4 linked regions of the Drosophila melanogaster genome follow. The protein of the gene in region 1 purifies or fractionates together with the protein of each later gene. This does not show direct contact. Each region holds a gene or a part of one and is shown in the gene's direction. Other genes may lie near its edges.

Region 1 (4,523 bases):
CGAAACCGAGCTCGATTCCTACATAGCCGAGTCCCAAAGACCGGGTTCAAGCCGGTCTGGCCAACTTTTGAGTGAGGTGCGTGCGAGTTGGCAACGAACGAAAGCCGGGCCAAAACGGCAGCTGACTGGGCGGCGGACAGATGGTTGCTCAGACGGATGGACGGACGGATAGACAGACGGACAGCAGCAGCAGCATTTGGCGCTGACCTTGAAGACGTAAATGTGAAGACGCATCTACATAAATATCTATTGTATCTCCGGCTCTTTCTGTCTGGCATCGGGCATGAGGCATCTGGTATTTGTGTATTGAAAGCGACAGTACGAACAAGATCAAAGCTGAAAAACCTGTCGATTGCCATTTGATCAGAACAGTTATGTAAATCACGGTCTATAATAAAGAACACAGCCCCAAGTTTGTCGAATTTTAACCAAAGATAGACAACGCCCCCGCGCACAGAGGCAATCATTCCGATTAGCACTCGAAGCCATCGATCACAGCCAGATTAATTATGCAAAGCCAGCATGATAAATGCAGCTCGATGCAGATGCCCTCGAAAAGCTGCGGAAAAGACCCAAATAATAAATATTATGCAGCCACGAATCAGATCCATTTTCAAGGGCCCCGAATGCCCTCAAGTTCAATTTGTAGGCGGACTGGGTAAATAAATCAGGCTGAAATTTCATGGAAACCACATTGTATATGAACTTGCTTAGTATTAAACTTAAGCGCTTAAGTTTGATGTTTCATGTGACATTTTATTTGTAAAGATTTCAATCATGCAAAAACCCATCGTTTTTTCTCTTCTTTAATATACTTGTCTTTCTCGTTCAATTAACATATTAACAACTTTTCCATTTGCGGTCTAATCAGAAAATTATAGTTACACATTTGACTAACAATAAGTAATTTTCACACTGTATTAATGTAATGCAATTTTGCTGAATAAACAATGACAACAGAAATTTGTTGAGTCTGCTTTTGCTTTTGATTGCAAAGACGCTTTGCTTATTTGATGCGTTCTTTACATGTTATATGGACAATATTATTTGATTGATAACATTCCTCGGATGTCACCAATTCCATGATTTTTAACGAGCAAGTTAAGAATGGCAAAATGCCAAATTGCAGCTGCCAAAAAATCAACCAAAATGATGTGATTTTCAACGACATTTGAGGAAATGCCAGTATCAGTGCACAACACCCTGTCGATGGGTCAGACATTAAGTCACAATTGGCACAATTCAATTCAAGTGGAGGAGGAGGCTGGGGCAGAACCGTGGTTGACCAGAGGCCGACCGATAACCAAAGTTAAAACCCGACTGACCGGCTTGAAAGATCCGCTGCTGGGGCTTCTTCATCGGCCTGCTAGCGGTCAACGAAGGTGGCATAAATTGGCAAGCACCGGCGACGGCGACTTAAAAACTAAATTAAAAAAAAAATGCTAAAAGTACAACAAAAAGCAAGAGTCAGAGATTTAAATTGCATGCGAGCCGTAGTTGTAGGTTATTCGATGTATTTTTTATATATATTTCCAACTGCTTTTGGCTCTTGTTACCGGGCAGGCACATCAATCGAGCGCTGTAAAGGCCGTTGCATATGCCAAAAGTCAACCTGCGGTTCCATCTCCATCCACAGCCTCATCCATCGTGCACTTTGGCCATCACACATGGCTCAGCTCGTGTTCTTCGTGTCCGCGGCTTGAACTTGCTGCCCTGCCAATTGGCGGCGACAGCACTTGAACTTAGTCTCTTTTGGGCCACCAATATGTCGTCGATTTCGGTTCGATCTGGGCCCATCTGACGAGCTGTTCTGGTTATTGTTTCCCATAGTTCTTGGCCCGGTATTTCCCCGTAGCTGCCCAATCAAACCGCAACCTTTTCCCCAATGCATCTGCTTGATTCATGAACTTTTTCGAGTTTTCTAAAGCTACCAGTCGGCACTGACAGAAAATGTCAGTACATCTTAAATGTGGTATTATATTCAAGTAATTGTTTTGTTTATTTCAATTAAGATTTAAGTACTTAATGAGTTGCACTAAAACTTCGAAAGGTGGTTTTAGTGTGGGTGTAAAACGAAAGATATTCGAATGATTAAGTGTTATAGGTTTAAATAAATATTTTTTATGTTCTAACTACATTAGTTTTAACATGCTTATTTTTATGTTTGGTTTCTTGTTAAAAATATGAAGACATATTGATTGTGGATAACTATTCTCACAGAATCGCCCTGAAACTTAGAATGCTTTTTCGAGTGTGGGTGAAGAGCAATAATACCTTTCGGATGAGTACACCGCTGCACAAAGCCGCTTTAAATGTTACTTGTCGCAGCGACTTTGGCGACTTTGGTGCAACGCTGGCAATTGAAAAACAGCACAAAAAAAACAAAAACAAAATGGAAATAGTGGAAAACATTTAGCCGGCGACCGCCAGAGCTGCTGAACTAGCGAGCTGCTTGGCTTCTTCCACAATTGTGCAAATTTATGACGTTTGCAAATGCAGCCGCGAGTGCAGTATAAAATGCAGTGGACGCCGATGCAACGCCACCATTAGACAACTGCCAGTTTGTCCAGCCGCATAGGAGAATCTGCAATTTCGAGAACCGCTCAACATGATGAAATTGGTAGGTGAACTTGGATAAACGAGGCGCACCATGCCCAACCAGGATACGCAAAAGGATACCTAATCTCTTACCGCCTTGCAGATGCTAGTCGTTGGCTCGATAGCCCTTCTCCTGGCCCTGGCCAGTGCCCGGCCGCAAAATGATGTGGAAGTTCTTGAGTACGAATCGGAGAACACCGGCCTCGGCGGCTACAAGTTCAGCTACAAACTGAGCGATGGCACCAGTCGAACAGAGGAGGGCGTGGTCAACAACGCGGGCACCGACAACGAATCCATATCCATTCGGGGATCCGTCACCTGGGTGGCTCCCGATGGCCAAACCTACACCATTAACTTTGTGGCCGACGAGAACGGTTTTCAGCCGGAGGGTGCCCATCTGCCCAAGTAGACCTCCGCTTTCGAGGAGATCCTGTAAATACCACCTTCCCGAATGAACCCACAATTCCAACCAACCAGCCATACAGTGAGGTGCTAAGGTCCTGTCCGGAGGAGCTGTCCCTTGTCCCGTGGCAGCCAATCGGTCAGTCAGTTAGTAAGTCGATCAGTCAGTCAAGTCAGTGTCGTGCATTGTTTTCTATTTTCCTTGTTACTCGCATTAAAGCCGAACTTTCGATTCTCGAAAAAAATATGTTTTCTTTGTGGAACCCATAAAGTAAGTCACCAGTTCTGGGAAGGGTCATTCAAAATATGAAACTGCACTAGATAACTTTCCTTTATAATTATAACGAAGTACCAGAGTTATTTTCTATTTTATCGTATTTAGCTATGAAAATTCACACTTTTATTTCTTTTGATTCAAAATGATCAATATACAAGATGTTCCATCTAAAAAATTTACGAAGGTACTAATCTTAAAAATATTTTTAAGGAACATAACAATTGGTTTTATTCTTTATTTAAACTGAGCTACGATAAAAGGTTATTCAGTATTATGGTTTCTGAGCCTATTTCGATTTAATGACTTGTTTTTCCAATTGATTTCTAGTTTTCAACTAGAAGACCTTTTTAATTACCATCATACACCGATTTATAGGTGGGGAATATCCTCGCCCTGGGGTTGGAATCCGTTCTCATCGGCCACGTAGCTGATGGCATGCGTCTGTCCGTCGTCTCCTACGAAGCTGAAGGATCCGGCCACCTGCAAGGCATCCTCCTCGGGACCAAGGCTCTTCAGGGAGCCGTGCTGCTCCTGCTTGGTGCCATCGCTTGTCTCAAATTTGTAGCTATAGCTATCGGCATTGACATCGGACACCAGGTCAACAATCTCTGCATCCGGAGCGGCAGCAGCTAGGCACAGGGCACTTAAAAGGCAGGCGAGCACAAGGATGGATTTCATCTTGAATAGTCAAAAATTACTCAATATTCAAAATGCCAGATTGCAGGAGTCTTTTATACGATTGCTAAGACAGCTTATGCAATTAGCACTTTGGGACAAGTCGTTAACATTATATAGCCGACGCGATCTGAGGACAGCAGGTGTTAATTGAACTTCTGTTCAATTTATTTATTAAAAATCTAATACTCAAAAAGAAAATTCAAGATTTTTTAATAAGCGGAATAAAGTTGTAAAACAATTAAACTCTAAAGATTTTCTCCAAACGCCTTTCAGACAATTACAATATATTAAAATTAAATTTTGCATATAAACCAGGCTTCTAAACTTTTCGTTTAAATTTCGATCCACATATTTATTAGCTCAAACTATAGATTTCAAGTTTTAAGCTTAGCTTAGCCGAAACTAGTTTTGATTGCTGTAGCGCGTGCTTTTGCCCAAAGAGTTGAACTATAAATAAACTGAGAATACGCCCTAAACAGTATAGTAATCATTGAGTCTTCAACGATCTACCACGTCTTCAATATGAAATTCGCCATCGTCCTGTTCGCCCTCTTTGCCGTGGCCCTGG
Region 2 (6,322 bases), on another chromosome or scaffold:
ATCCAGTAAGTTATTATAATTTTTAAAAGCAATCTGCTTATTTGCCATCGCAAGCACTGCGGCTTCCATTAAGCCCATTATAATTATACTACAATTACCATTCCATCGACAGACAACAATCTCCCATCGCAGCACATTTAATGCACTATCATCGCACTGAACGGCAAAATCGAGAAGACCTTGAACTTGAGACGATTGCAAAGTAACTCCGAGAGCATCAGCACTCGCTTTATTTCCATTATAATTTTCCATTACACTGCCCTTTCCCTTTTTTTTTCGTGGTATAAACCTGGGGATATTTTGTATCTGCTTTTTTTTTTCTTCTTTTTGCCGCTGACAGCTGGCAGTTGAGTTATGAATGCTTTTAGTGGAGGTTCGCCGAAACTGAGTCAGTCGAGCAGTTCCAAAATCGGCAATAACAGAAACAATGTCCAACCGAAAGTGACCGCCGCGTGGTTTGCATTCCTGATATGGGACACGTACGGTGTCCGTCGTTTTTTTTTGTGGTCTACTTCGTCGGCGATTCTGTGGCCCCAGGGACCAACGACCGTCCTCGGTCTGGGCGCGCCAAATCCGTAGGCATCGCGACACATCCGGATTTTGTGTCTGTTTTTTATATTTTCATTTAAGTCTTAAACGGTAGCCGCATTATGCGTAGCTCAGAAGTTATCTCCTCTTGTCGAGTGATTAATTTTAATTTTTTTTTTTCGCTTTTATTGCTGAATAATTTTTATTTACTGCTTGCAATCGATAAATTTTTGTTGTTCGAAAAAGGGCATTTCATGTTGGCCATTCCCGTGCGGCCTGCAGTCGTTGACCGCTTTGAACTGACCTTGCCGCGCGAATTTTCGTTAATTTCAACTTTGTGGTCACCGCTTTGCTGCACTGGTCCGGGATGCTGTTGTTTATGTTTTTCAGACTTTTCTGGTTTTTATCGCCCATCAAGGTGATAGGTTTGCATATAAATGACGCTAGAACAAAAGACTTTGGCGACGAACTCGTGGTGACTAAACATGTGTACGAATTCACTGTGAGAGCAGTCAAAAGAATTGGTTTGCCCCAAGATATTTATTTTAATGGGAATGAATCATTGGACTGCGTAGCGGAAGTTTATTCGTAGCTAGGGAATCGATTATGATGAAGTCCGTTTGCCAATAAGCAAAAAAAAAAAACTAAACACCAGTTTTAAAAACCTTTTTCGAAGCATTTTTAACATAAAGTAAATATTTCAGTAGTTTAGATACTTCCTTTATAAATTGCATGCTGTAAAAATAGTTATACGACTTTAGAAGTTTTTCAGCCAGCTTTAAGCACCACATTTTTTTCCAAACACAGAATAATACTTTTTTAAATCCAAAGACTAAGTACATCGGCTAAACTCTAGAGAGCCTTACGTATAATGAATTACTGATTTTACAGCAATATTTACATTTTTGTTTATGTATGTTTTTATGGCTAATTTTGCACATCATAAAAGATTCACTACTAAGGCAAAGACAACAAGATCTAGCATACTGCGGCTGAAAAGTGGCTTTGGCGTCGACCAGCCAAATTTGCAACTGTCGAGATTCACAAGTCGGATGGATTGACTGGACATAAACAGAGATCACGGAGGCTAACTTGGTGATTTGGCTTGGCGTTGGTGCGTGGCACGGTAGTCGCTAGTAAAAATTCAATTAGCAAATTAAATATTAATTACCAGACGGGTCTCTATGCTAATTGAATTAGCAATAGTAGCAGCTGGCAAATAACTAAATAAAGGAAAAAGTATTGGGGGTTTTTAAGTTGGAATGCTGCGAAGATGGAGTTTTTGAGGATTCGTTTTAATATTATCCAATATTTGGCACCTATTTTTTCTGACATAATTGTTTAAATTAAAGAATGTTGTATGAAAAGTGGAAATTGCAATTTAAAATTTGAAATTTTGATATTATAACGATTGCATTTTTGATTATACAATGCAATTACGTTTCATTAAGTTTTATTTTGGTTTAATAATAAATGTCTCATTTTAACATACTACCTTATAAATAAATCTTTTGTTTTTATGTCCAGTAATGCATTATACATTAATATTTTAAGTGGGCCTTAATTTATATCAACCAAATTAAAATGTCAGATGATAAAATTACGTTTGAGAGTTTTATTTTGTTTCCTTTTTTGTAACAATGCAAGTTCTAATATTTTCGGAGCACAGCTGTTTATACTAATATTATTTCTCCTCGTGACAGGTGCCAATGCTATTCTCGCCCGGCTGATTAAAGTATATAATTTGCCGCTCGGCTGTGAATTTAGTGTGAGGCCAGGCCCAAGATGAACCAGTTTGCGGTTGGAAAGTGTGGCAGCCTAGAGTCGGACAAGGTCCCTGATCAGGAATAGCCCTGGCGATATAGCCCAAGTTCCCTGTCGGATTTTTTGATATTTTTTATTTTAATAATTTTTTTTTTGATTTTCTGACTTTCCGACATGACTGCTTCATAAATTCACACTCACTTAAGCCTGCAATTAGCGGTCGAGCAAAAAGCTCCCATCGCTTTGGAGCTTTGGCGCTCTGTTGCTCTCTTTTGGGAAGGTTTTGTCTTTTGCTCACCGCTCTCGGCGTTCAGTTGATCGACGGCAAGCTCTCGAAACGGACGCAGATTTTTGTAAGTCGCCGCCGCGCCTGCGCATTTTAAATCAGTTGCAACAAAAAAACAACGAGAGGCAGCGAAGACGAAATCGAATTGTGTTTTTATTTGTTTGCTTTTGTTTTGTCTGTGTGTTATGCCATGCACAAAACCACCGTGTTCGTAAAAGTGGAGAAAAATCAAAAATCGAAAATTCAAGCCGAAATAAGTTTGCCAAAACAAAAAGAAACCGCAAAAGCCGCGTTATAATAACGCAAATAACGGTATTAAGTTTGAAGCTCATCTAGTTATTTATGCTTTGCTCCTCGTGGTTGTCTGCAAAAATAAAACAAAAAAGCTTAAAACAAACAACAGTGTCGAAAAACCTTAACAATTTGCGCGCACATAAAATATAATTAAAGCCAGCAAATTTTTGCCTTAAACATAAAAAAGTTAATCAACTTGGTTGCAATTAAATGTTGCAATTTATTTTTTTGCAACTAAAGTGCGAAATATTCAGTGCAATACAATAACAAAAATAAATAAGTTTCTCTGAAGCAATACAAATAAAAGTTTCTCTGTAGAAATATAAATAAAAAAATACCAAAATCCATATTATCAAAAATTCAATAAGATATGTAAATAAATAGTTTGGTATACTCAAGCAAAAATAGAATGCTGAACAATGGATAATAAATTATTTATTTTTTTGGGTAACAAACTGATTGCCGAGACTTAAAAGACACCGAGAACTAAAAATAAAATATGATAGATCAAACAAAAAAATTCCCAAACATCTAAAGAGGGAGTCCGCCATTCCTCAAACGTATGTGTGATGGGTGTATGTGTGGGTGGGAGCGGGAAAATTGTGTTGGTAATTTCTAATGCACATTTTCCCTTTAGTATTACCCAACACAATGTTTTATTACCCTTACAGGAGTAACAGGAGTAACTAAACCTTTGATATTTCGATATTTATTAAAACATGAAAAAGAAAATTGATTATAACAACTTCCAGCAATTTTAAACCTTTTTTTTGTATTTTCCGCGAAAGCGTACATAAAGAGCGTATTTTTTTTAATACCCCTTCCTTTTACTGTATTTTCCTGCCTGCCCTTTTAGTTGTCGTTGAATTTGTATGACGTGTGTGCATCAGGTTGATTTTTGTGATGCGTTTTGCCTATGTAATTTCCATGTCAGGCGTTGGGATTACTTCATCTCCCGTTTCATTTCCTATATGGCCAGATGATTCAAACCAAACTGACCAGCGCAAAAATGAAAACAAAAACTACTGCTACAAAAAAACTAAAAAAAAAAGTTGCACGAAAAAGCCGGTTGAAGGCAACTCTTACATATTTACACGCACCAGCGCTCATTGAACACACGCCGCCAGCAGCAACAACAAAGCTAGCACGGGAAAAAATTGTTTTAAACAGTTACTAATATTTTTATTAATATATTAGTAAGGATTATATTGATAAATAACAGTACTACAAAAAGTAATATCAAGATATTCATAATATTCATATATGACATAAATCATACAATTCCGAGTAATTATTTTCTCTCACTGCATTACAGCAACAGCAACAAAAGCAATATCAACAGGGCGACACAGAAACCTGTTGTTGTAGCTCTTGGTGCCTCTCTTGCTGTCTCTGTCTCGTCAAAAGACATTTGCAGAGTTTCCAGCTGCGTGTTGATTATGTCAATTTCATGTTTACTTCATTTCCTCAATCCACCGGCAAAGGTGTTAGAGAGAGGGGTATAGTGGGCGGAAAGGGGTGCGCCAGCAATTTCACTTTCGTTGGACTTGAAAATAAAAGCTGCAGTCTCTGTGGCAGTGTGAGCGAGTGCGAGAGAGAGAGAGAGAGAGAGATTATTGGAGCAAGATGGAAGGAGGTTGGAGCTTGGGAAAGAGAGCAAGTGAGAGTGAGAGTGCGCACAGCAAGTGTGCTGCATACGGTACTTGGATGCTGGTGCTGCTGATGCCTCACTTGCTTTGTGGGGCGTTGCTGCACCGTGGGTTATTGCTATTTAATGTTCTTGAGCATAAAATTGTGGATCGTGACTTTGGGCTCAGCAAATAATTCGTTTCACTAATCCGTATTGTTTCATATATAATATATTTTAAAAACCAGGTGACTAGTCACAATAACTAACTAACTGACTAGTTACAATAAAAGTTTTACCCAATTTTTTCAGATATTATGATGAAATCTTAAAAGAAGTGATACCAATTAGAATGGCTAAGCTCTGAGATATTTGAAGATTATTATTATTATTTTTGTTTATGAATTGTTATACTCTCAGTTTTCATATTTGCTTGAAAAGTTAGTTTGTTGATGTTTTAAGAACAATTATATGAATTTTGCAATGTTCATACGTCAATATAAGGATTATTATGTTACCATCCTTTTAATAACTGTACCACTGTGCGCCGGCGTCTTTTGTGTGCTACTCGTCGCATATTTTCCGTTTCGTTTTGTAACTGTAATGTCTGTTTTTCCCATTGTCCGATTGTTGCTGGTTGTCGCTTTTGTTTTGCGCTTATAACGTAATAACGTAATGTGCTCGAAGATTTCCACATGCGATGCGTCGCACCTTACGTTTTGGTGCCAAGTCCATCGCCGACGTCGACGTTCATTGTTTTTGCAGGCAATTGAGCCAATAAACTGACGCGAATCGTAGCGACTTACAAATTCCTGTCCGAAAAATATGCGAAGGTCAACCAGAGGGGCAGCACCAACAACCACAACGATATCGAATCCATAACAAAATAGTTGAGAACTCCCGCAAGTGGAGTTTCATACGAGTATGTTTGGTATTCGCACCTTCAAACATGATTTCACGGACTGTCAGCTTGGCAAAAATTCTAATTATAAATGAAACAATTTATTACCGGGTTTTTAAAATAAAATGCAATTTATGTGCAAAGTCTGGCGGCGGCGGCGGACTTGACTAGTTAAACCGGTTGACTGCCAGCAGCAGCAGCAGCAATGAAAAAAAATGGAAAAAGAACCATTGACTCAATGGGGGTGCAGTCAGCAACAGCAAATTGCAACTGCAAGGAAAACATTTTTCTTAAATATACGGAATTAATTAATAGAAGTTAAACAAAGGATAATTTCTTTAATAAATTCTAAACATTTATTTATTACGGCAGTGGTGAATTCGACAAAAAAAATTATAATTTAACCAAATGTATTTATTTGAAATCTATAAATTACATCTATATAATAAAACAAAAGCTTCGTTATATAACTCAGCAATAAATCTACTAAGTGCAATGTATAAAAAATCCTAATGAACATGTAGTTCAAAAATAACTCTAATAAATTTATCTCGAATAAATCAAACCGTTTAAAATCAAATAATTGAATACATGTTCACAGCTGTGAAAACAAGAATATTTTCGGCAAAATATTTCAACAAGCATAACCGATGTGTGTGTAAAATTTGTGCCTGTCTATATTATTTAATTCATTAATCATAAATGCAAATTTCTTGATTGTTTAGATACGTCTTAACGGCTAACTCGAAGCTATAAATTGGACATCAAAATTGGATTATACAAAAATAAAAAAAAATAACAAAGTGAACACGAAAAGTTAATAACAATTATTTTGTATGCCGGTTTCTTCTTGACAAGTTTGGTAAGTGAACTTTAAGACTTGATGAATGAGACTGAATGATAAAATAAATGTTAGATGACT
Region 3 (4,745 bases), on another chromosome or scaffold:
ACTGTTCCAGTCACAGATCCATTTGCAATCCCCGTTGGTATTCCACTCCACAATCCCACACCCAGCGTTCCGATAATCGATTTCGAGTGCGAAACTTGAGATTCGCAGCCCACGGTTATGCACCGCATCTGTTGCATCACTTTTCACCACCCCCAATCGCAGATAGTATCTATTTTTTCCGCCCGGTGATCACTAAACCATTGTCAATGACATCAAAGATGCCGAGAAATTCCAGAGAGGCAGCTTCCGTTTTTACCTGGTTGTTGCAGGAAGTGCAAAATGGTAACCCGAGTACCCCAAAGGTGGCAAGAAAACCAGAAAGCCTAATTATGACAGCAATAGAAATTGAGACATCACACTCAAATTACTATCTTGCAACAATGTATACTGATATAAAGCAAGTAACTGGTTACAAGTACAGTGAACTTTGATAAATGTTGCTTACTACAATATCAATTACAAAATCAAAGTTTAATGTAATTAATTGCCATTTTTAAAAGATCTGAATCCGGTTAAAAATTAAATACTAAAATCCGGAAAACATTCGGTTCGCCAAATGCATACAAAATTATAAGAAACATTAATTAAGTTATAAATCAAGTTACCGTTAAATCAAGTTCTACGATATTAGATCTGCTAAGTGAATTTGAGATTTATTAAACTCAAATGAAAGAAATTGCTTTGTTACACTTTTGTTTATTGGGCCACAAAATGTTTCGAAATAAATTTTATATTGAAATTATACAAGATTAAAACCAGATTACCCCTTTGAACAATTCCAGATTTATAGACCCTTTGTTTAAAATGCGAGCCGAACGTATAAATATGATACTAATAAGCAAGTTTTTTTTTTTTTTTAATTAATGGAATCAAAACAAAATCTAGTTGAATTTCCATTAGGTAGACTCAGAATTATTGATATTAGGAATCAGGTTCGACCAAAACTGCTGACTTCTGAAACTTGACAAACAAAACATAACGACTTTGATAGACATATGACCTTTCGTTGAAATCTATATTTTTGGGAACAACTTGCTAAGAAGCCCGAAGACTTTTTATCCAAATAAAACAAAAAAAAAACAAGAAAGGATTGCTAGTACGTTCTGCGGGATTTTCCCAATATAAATTTCAATTCAAGATTTAGTTAATTTATTTTATTTGCTTTTTATGTTCCCAAATTGATTTGATCACATTTGCACCCATATTTTATAAGCCACTTTCAAGTTGGCGGCTAAAGTCACCAATACACACAGAGAAAAGCCGCAATTGCGTGAGTATTGGTGGCATGCCAGTGTATTGGTGAGCGCTTCCGCTTGCAACTTTCCGTGCCGCACTAATACACACAAATATAACCAATACAAGCGCAAACCAAGCCGAACTCAGAGCTTTGAAGAGAGCAATTAGGCTGGTTTGTGGTGGGAAAAGCTTTTGGAAACCGCTGAGCGACTTGGTTTGGCGGTGTTTTCAGTTTCGTTTTGACACAAAAACTCTTTGGGGGTATAAAAGCGCGCCACTGACCACAGACAGCATCCAGTCAAAGGTTTGGAATCGCTAGTGATTCTACAATCCTTCCACAGTCTATTTCGCTGTTACTGAGTTGCTTGTAAGTGAAGCCAAATGCCAAGTTAATTTTTGTTTGTTTCTAAAATGCGTGTAGTCTATGTGAAACGGAAATAAAGTTTAAGCTGTGATCTAAAAGTTATAAACTAATAACTGTGCGAGCCGTGTGCTCTAAATAACTTCAATTTTCCAAGGAACATTTTCCCAAAGAACAGATTGTTAATACCAATTAAAGTGCTGATCTTATAAAAAAAAAAATATCTATGCTGCATTTCGTATAAATAATCTTATTGTTTTCTTTGTTTACTTACAGCCTTGGCAAGTCCCATTAGACTCCACAATGAAAGTATTCGTAAGTACAACAGACATATAGTAATTAGACATATAGAATTTAGTTTGATATGTAAATGGGTACGAGTATGTGAACTATCGCTGTTGGTAGCATATTTTAGTGTGAGAAATCAAGTAATAATTCAAAGAATTGCATACAGAACAATGCTGACATGAACTAATTGGAACAATATAGCCTTTTGCATTGCAAATGCCTCACATTGTTTACCTGGCCATCTTCAACAACAAACAACTTCCTGAAACAATTCAATCCGATAAATTTCCTTAATCAAAGGTGAAATGCTCGCAAACGACCAAATTCAACTTGAACGACATGGCTAATAAGCGTTTATTAACTGAACGATCATAATTGGAGTGCCAGCCACGTTTATTACCAGGCCGTAATCAACTGGGTTCATGTGCTCAATTAAAGCCAGCTCCAAATGCATTCGCTGAGTTGCCCACTGCGTATGCGTAACGTGACGCCAGTCGGTTGAGGCGTATTGCGGAAACTGGGCGTGGCAGTGGGCGATGACTGCACTGCATCATTTATGCCAGGCACGCACAAATTTCACTTGACCATTTGAATCGCGAAAGAGGGCGATGAGACAACGGACGACACAATGCGAATCGGGCCACATATCGCCTATCGCCTTCGCTTTCTATTGCGATTAGGTAATCGATCAAACTAGGCAATGGGTGATAAAAGTCAACGTTTTCGTTAGGCAATTTATGTAGGTTGCATATCTTGAATTGTTTTATCATAGAGAAGCTTCAAATACTTAAAGAATAGACTATACGAATTTCATGATAGATGAGTTTGCACAGTTGAGAATTCGAAGATAGTATGACTAAATTTTATTTCATTTCATTTTGAAATAGATTTAAACTATATTTGCAAGGAATCAAGTTCTACTTACTAACTTAGTTATTGTGAAATAAACTATTAAGAAATCACAAATATCTAGAATTTTGCTAGAAAATTAATATATTATTATTATTTAAAAGTCTCTAAAATGCATAGTTTCATAACCAATCGCACCAACTCAATTCTTTGCAGATCTGCTTAGCCGCTCTGCTGGTGGCCTCCGCCTGCGCCAGCAAAACCGAGGGTGAGAAGGTGCCGCTGGAGAAGAAGCTGGACAAGCGCGGCCTGCTCGATCTGGGCTACGGCTACGGTCATGCTGGTCTGGACACCGGCTACCTGGGACATGGTTCCATCTCCGGCCACGGAAGCTACGGACATGGCTACGGACTGACCGGATACTCCGCACCCGCTGCCGTCGCCGTGGGCCACAGTGGTCCCGCGATCGCCGTTGGACACACTGCTCCCGCCGTCGCTGTCCACCACGCTCCCGCCCCCTATGTGATCAGCAAGCAGGCCGATGTGCACAAGACCATCACCATCACCAAGGGAATCCCAGTGCCCGTGCATGTGGACCGCCCCTATCCCGTCGTCCATGAGAAGCGCGTGCCCGTCGAAGTTAAGGTGCCCGTGCCCCAGCCCTACGAAGTCATCCGCAAGGTGCCCGTGACCGTTAAGGAGTACGTCAAGGTGCCCGTGCCAGTGCCCCAGCCCTACGAAGTGATCCGTCACGAGAAGGTGCCCGTCCATGTGCCCGTCGATCGCCCAGTGCCCGTTGAGGTGCCCAGGCCCTACCCCGTGCCAGTGGCCAAGCCCTACCCTGTCTACGTGGAGAAGGCCGTCAATGTCCAGGTGCCCGTGCATGTGGATCGTCCCTACCCCGTCTACGTGAAGGTGCCCGTGGTGTCCCACTCCGTGGTCAAGCACGCACCCACCGTTGCCGTCAGCAGCTACCCTGTTAGCGCCATTGGCCACGATGCCACCGTCTACTCCGACCACCATGGTTACCACAAGTAAGCGGACGGAATGGACCGGAAGCAGGCGAATCTATTGGAGCGAGCGGACTTAATGGAAATGAGCCGAAGGATATCTAGCAACATTTTCAATTATCTTCCCCACTCTCTCCACCTGTCGGCCTTCCTTTCCAAAACCGAGCGCAGAAGCAAACTCTTAAAATACCCCCTGGAAGTCAAACTTCCGCCCTGCCACACTCTCTGTAGCTGATAAGAACCCCCAAGATGAAACAAGCAATGCCTTTTGTAAATTATTTCCAATCCAGCCATCCAATGGAAGCCATTGTGCTGGGCCAAGAACTCCAGGTTTAGGATAAATACCAGCTAACTGTTTGTAAATTTCGCCATTTATGAACAGTTTAGCTGGCCAAGTTTATCAGTGAAAGGTTTCGGCGCACAATGAATTGAATGGATAATAAGAACAGAAATATCTATGTGAAAATCTATTAAGGACAAATAAAATAAAATGTATAAAATAAATTTCACTGTCTTTATCACTGGTTAGCTGCTGGAAATAGTTTGTCATAGGGTTCTTTGTAATTGTATATCTTGTAAATATATTTTGTAAATAAAGAGTATGTTGTTATTAAACAGCTGTCGTTTTTGATTTGGTGGCTACTCAACATAAATAATATTTAAAAAATGTATTTTTACTAGACTTTTTGAGGATCATTTTCTGGAATATTTACAGCTCTCTAATAATATTTATTAAATAGACGGAATGGTTCAAAAACTTTATGTTCCGATCACTTTAATAAAAAGTTATACGAAGACCCTTTAATCTTGCAAGGTAACAAGTAGGATACCAGTAATTATTTCAAGCCAAGAGATGCGAATTATGCATACCTGTAATTAAGTACAGCTTAAGTTGTAATAAATCAATAATACTCAGTCACAATAAAAACAGATGTCTTGACGCCTTCCTGATCCTTAAACCCGAAAATCCTCTCACCAGTCAGTCAGCTGAGATGACATGA
Region 4 (4,407 bases), on another chromosome or scaffold:
GATGATCGTGGTGTTGATCATGGCGATGATGTCTGGCGACCTTCGCCTTCAACTGCACATTACAAAGCCTAATACGCTCGGTTGCCATTATGTCCGCGGCGTTATGTCCACAATTAAATTAATGCACATAAAACCAACATGATTTGGTGCCCGTATCTGTTCTCCTTTGTGCGCGTTTTGCGGTCCACTCATTGTTCACACGTTCCATTTACATGGCCATTGGCGAGTATTTCCTCTGCAGCATTAAAATGTCAAATTACCCACACTGCCACAGCATTCAATCAATGCACCCATATCAAGGCTTAAAACGCCGCTCAGCCTGGCCAAAAAGCTGAGAAAAAAAAACCGAAGCAAACAAGAATACGGAGCCAAACACAAATCCGAGATCAAAAGTTCAGTCACGAAGCCACACAGAATCAAGCAGACTATGCGGCGCATGTTTCTTCTGCAGCCAAGCAATTTACATTCAATATGCAACTGCAACTGCAACTGGATTTGTAACCTGAAATTTTCGGAAATGTGTGGCTAATGTGAATTTAACTTATGGCTGTGGAACACTTTGCCCGTTGTGTCTAATTTGATTATGTGACTGAAGTGCTCGCGGTCAGTTATTTATTAATGGCTCAAGGCTTTGGGGCAAAAATTTCCCAACACTAAGGACTAGTCAAAATTATGCATTAGAAAAGTATTTGTGATCTCTTTTTTAATGTATATATTTTTTAATAATTATGAAGGTTTCGTTACCAGCCAAAAATTACTCATTTATTTATGGTCCATAAATTTTAAACTCTTTATGTTCATTTTTAACTTTGTTAATATTTAATTTTTAATTGAATAATTATTATGTTTATAATTAATGTTCTTTTCGAATGTGTTGATTTCCAAAGATTTATGTAAAATGGTAAGAAATACAAGTAGTTTATTTTATTTGTCGTGTTCATTAATGTAATTTTACCTGGGAAACAAACACTAACACTTCATGTATTTATGTGAGATTTTTACAAAAAATATATTAATAAGATATATTTGTACAAAGGGAAAATGATAATATAATAATGGCTACATATAACAATACTAACTGCGCAAAAAGACGTCGGAGGAAGGGCTCCGATCTAAAATTACATAAACTTTCTAAGGACTTTTAAAGCTGTTTACTAAAATTTTAACAATACAAAATTTATCACTTTTCGAATATTCTAGAAACAAACTCTGAGACTCTAAAACTCTAAAGTCGTTGATTAAAATTCATACGTATATGATTAAAAAAGTCTATATTGTTTGAACTGTACAATTAAGAGCGATTCTCCAAAAGAATTGATTGGATCTCTTTGGTAGATTAAGGCAAAATTAAACGAAATTACCCATTTGCTATGTTTGTTATGTTGGCTATTGGCAAGAAACGATTCTTTCTACTAAACTGTGCCCCCAGTTACTTGGTGTCTGAATACTTTCAGTAGTTCCCAAAGATCGCTACAGTTGGAGCTCGAGTGTTCACAGATACGCACTCATACAGGCGCAGATCACACGGACAACATGGACACTGTCCGTGTGAGGCACCCTCTTTCGAAAAAGCTCGCTTGCTGACGCATTTCCTTTGGGCCACGGGCTCACACGGACAGTTGGCCAAGAGAGAGAGGAGCTGTCGAACGGATGGAGAGCGAGCTTTTTCAACACGGCTGCTGCGATCTCGATTCACGTCGACTGCGCAGCCGCGGCTGAAGACAATCCCGCCACAGCATCGGCCATATAAAAGCTCGCTGCGTCTGTGCGAAATTATTCAGTTAACTGTTGCGGGTTGGTTGAGACATACAAGCCCATCTTGATCGCAAAGTGTTGAGGAGCTAACCTAGTGCAAAATGAAATCCATGGTATGTTCGGTCTGAGCTCAGTGTGTTCTCCTTCGAAGTGCTGCTTAGAATAATTGTGTTTCAAAAACTCGGATTCAGTTAAAGTGACTTGCAAAAGAATATATATATATATATTTATGGAACAATGTAGACATATCGGTGTTGCAATTAAAGTATTTTTAAAAAGGTTTTTGCACGACTTCATCAGCTCTTTCAAAAGCAAGGATAGAACGGATATTCTAAAATGTCTCTAGATATGTTACTTTTTTGTGGCATTTTGGTTTACCCAAGTAAATATGAACATGGTTTTAAGAAAGGATTTTTAGAGAGAAAACTAATTGAAATATTTAATTTTTCCATTACCAGTTCTACATTTAAATCTTATTGAAAGAAATCACATTTCATAATTACTAAAATCGAAAAGTGTTAAGGATCATTTTAACCCGAAAAGGATAGGCAGTCCTAGAATATGTTTTTAGCATTTAAAAAAGAAAACAAAAATGTAGATTCGTATTAAAAAGCTTTGAACGCGAAACTACAAAGAGTTGAATTTGCCTTCTTCCAATTTGTATTTTAACCGAATTATTGCGAAAATATCAAGCCACATTAAGTATACGCCGCATGCCCAATATGTCAGGGGGCCTAGGCCACAATTGAACTTGGCTGGTTGCCCAGCCAACTTTCCACCCAACATTGCATAATTGTCATATTCCAAATTATGGAGTAATCGGGCGGAGGTGGAGCCGGAAGCGGCTGCAGTTGCATAACCGCCCGACCAAGCCAATTGGGTTTCTATCGAATTTAACCCACTTGTCATTGCAGCTCATTTTCGGCCTTGTGGCGATGTGCGTGCTGGTGGCCAACGCCAGTGAGGAGGCACCCAAGAAGGCCGTCGAGACCGCCGAGCCCGCCGAGAAGAAGCAGGAGAAGCGCGGCATTGGCCACGGTCTGGGCTACGGATACGGACCATCGGCGGGAGGCGCCATTCTGGGATCCGGCATCGGTGTTGGAGTTCCAGTGGCTCCCGCTGTCGCTGAGCTGCCCACCCAGGTGCACACCAACACCGTGGTGAGGACCGTGCAGGTGCCCTACCAGGTGGAGCGTCACGTTCCCTACCCCGTCGAGAAGACCGTCACCTATCCCGTTAAGGTGCCCGTGCCCCAGCCCTACCCCGTGGAGAAGATCGTCCATGTGCCCGTCAAGCAGATCGTGAAGGTGCCCGTCGAGGTGCCCCAGCCCTACCCCGTCGAGAAGGTGATCCGTGTGCCCGTGAAGATCCCAGTTGATCGTCCCTACACCGTCCATGTCGACAAGCCATACCCCGTGCCCGTGGAGAAGCCCGTGCCATACACCGTCGAGAAGCGTGTGATCCACAAGGTGCCCGTCCATGTGGAGCGTCCAGTGCCCTACAAGGTGGCCGTGCCCGTGCCTGTCCACGTTGAGAGCCACGTCAAGCCCGCCGTGGCCGTCACCCACACCGTTGCCGCTGCTCCTGCCATCATCAGCCACGGCTACTCCGGACACGGAATCTCCGGATACGGAATTTCCGGACACGGAATCTCCTCCTACGGCAGCTCCTCCTACGGCGGCTCCGCCCACGGTGGCTACCTCCACAAAAAGTAGATGAAATCGCAATGCTGTCGAGGGCCAAGCGAGAAGTGAAGTCGGGTGAAGGCGAGCGAACCAACCAACAAGTCGAAAGTATCCAACAGACATTAAGAATCAAGCACCCCTCCCTCTCTTTCCACGCCCAGCAACCGCCAACGTACGACTTACAAATTTAGTTTTAGTTTGTGATACCAACCGAAATTCTGGAAGGATCGGAACCAGGAGAAAATCACACAACTGACGCAATCCATTATAGAAAGCTTGCCAAAACCCATCCGGGGCGTTTGAAAAGTGCCTGTCTCCTGGCATCCAAATCCATCGAGTGTACAGTTCTTTTGTAGACAATCACAGAGAAATAACTGCTGACGAGTTGCTCCTTCGACTTTTTCACGTAAATTTCTTTTCTATGAAATATTTGTACATATTTAAATAATGTAAATAAAACGAAAATTAAAAAAAAAAAACTTAAGACTTGTACTTTCAGAAATACTGGGCTTTCCATTAAAAAAAAAAAAGATAGAAGTTCGATAGGATATTTTTAAGGTATATAGGGTATTTTCACTTAATGAGCCTTTTGTTTAAGCTGAAAGCTTAATTTGTATTGCTGCATTGCTATTTTGGAATAAATACATTTTTTTACAGAAGTTATATATCTGTCAAGTTAAAACGTAGCCATAAAGGACTACATATTATATATTTACATATTATATATTTATATATAATATATATATATATTATATATTTATGGATATTTATTAATTTTTATGAGGGGGTGTGGAGTTACTCTTAAGTGGATTAATACAGCTTATTTTAGTCAAAGGATATTCCCACAACTATGCAATGATTTATTTATTTATTATAAATTTTGGGAATTATTCTGAATTGCATTACAGTGCGTCAAGTAATTGTTCGCAAACAATGTTTTTAAAACTGTAAATTTAGTGAGTAGGCC

Evidence for each region.
Region 2: the proteins of Acp65Aa (region 1) and mol purify together in Drosophila melanogaster (affinity purification with mass spectrometry, with the first as the bait; one large-scale study listed by BioGRID). This does not show direct contact.
Region 3: the proteins of Acp65Aa (region 1) and Vajk3 purify together in Drosophila melanogaster (affinity purification with mass spectrometry, with the first as the bait; one large-scale study listed by BioGRID). This does not show direct contact.
Region 4: the proteins of Acp65Aa (region 1) and Vajk2 purify together in Drosophila melanogaster (affinity purification with mass spectrometry, with the first as the bait; one large-scale study listed by BioGRID). This does not show direct contact.

What each region holds. Positions count from the first base shown.
Region 1 is NT_037436.4:6,150,765-6,155,287, reverse strand, and holds Acp65Aa (adult cuticle protein 65Aa), read left to right. Parts: upstream 1-2,542; 5' UTR 2,543-2,608; coding exon 2,609-2,620; intron 2,621-2,701; coding exon 2,702-3,007; 3' UTR 3,008-3,238; downstream 3,239-4,523. Other genes in the region: Lcp65Aa, read right to left, coding at 3,647-3,955; Cpr65Ax2 (cuticular protein 65Ax2), read left to right, coding at 4,478-4,523.
Region 2 is NT_033779.5:14,993,839-15,000,160, reverse strand, and holds the start of mol (moladietz), read left to right. Parts: upstream 1-2,601; 5' UTR 2,602-2,645; exon of another isoform or gene 2,646-3,447; intron 3,448-6,125; 5' UTR 6,126-6,262; intron 6,263-6,322.
Region 3 is NT_033779.5:13,944,256-13,949,000, reverse strand, and holds Vajk3 (Vajk3), read left to right. Parts: upstream 1-1,524; 5' UTR 1,525-1,603; intron 1,604-1,873; 5' UTR 1,874-1,900; coding exon 1,901-1,912; intron 1,913-2,950; coding exon 2,951-3,772; 3' UTR 3,773-4,245; downstream 4,246-4,745.
Region 4 is NT_033779.5:13,932,059-13,936,465, reverse strand, and holds Vajk2 (Vajk2), read left to right. Parts: upstream 1-1,773; 5' UTR 1,774-1,856; coding exon 1,857-1,868; intron 1,869-2,669; coding exon 2,670-3,470; 3' UTR 3,471-3,907; downstream 3,908-4,407.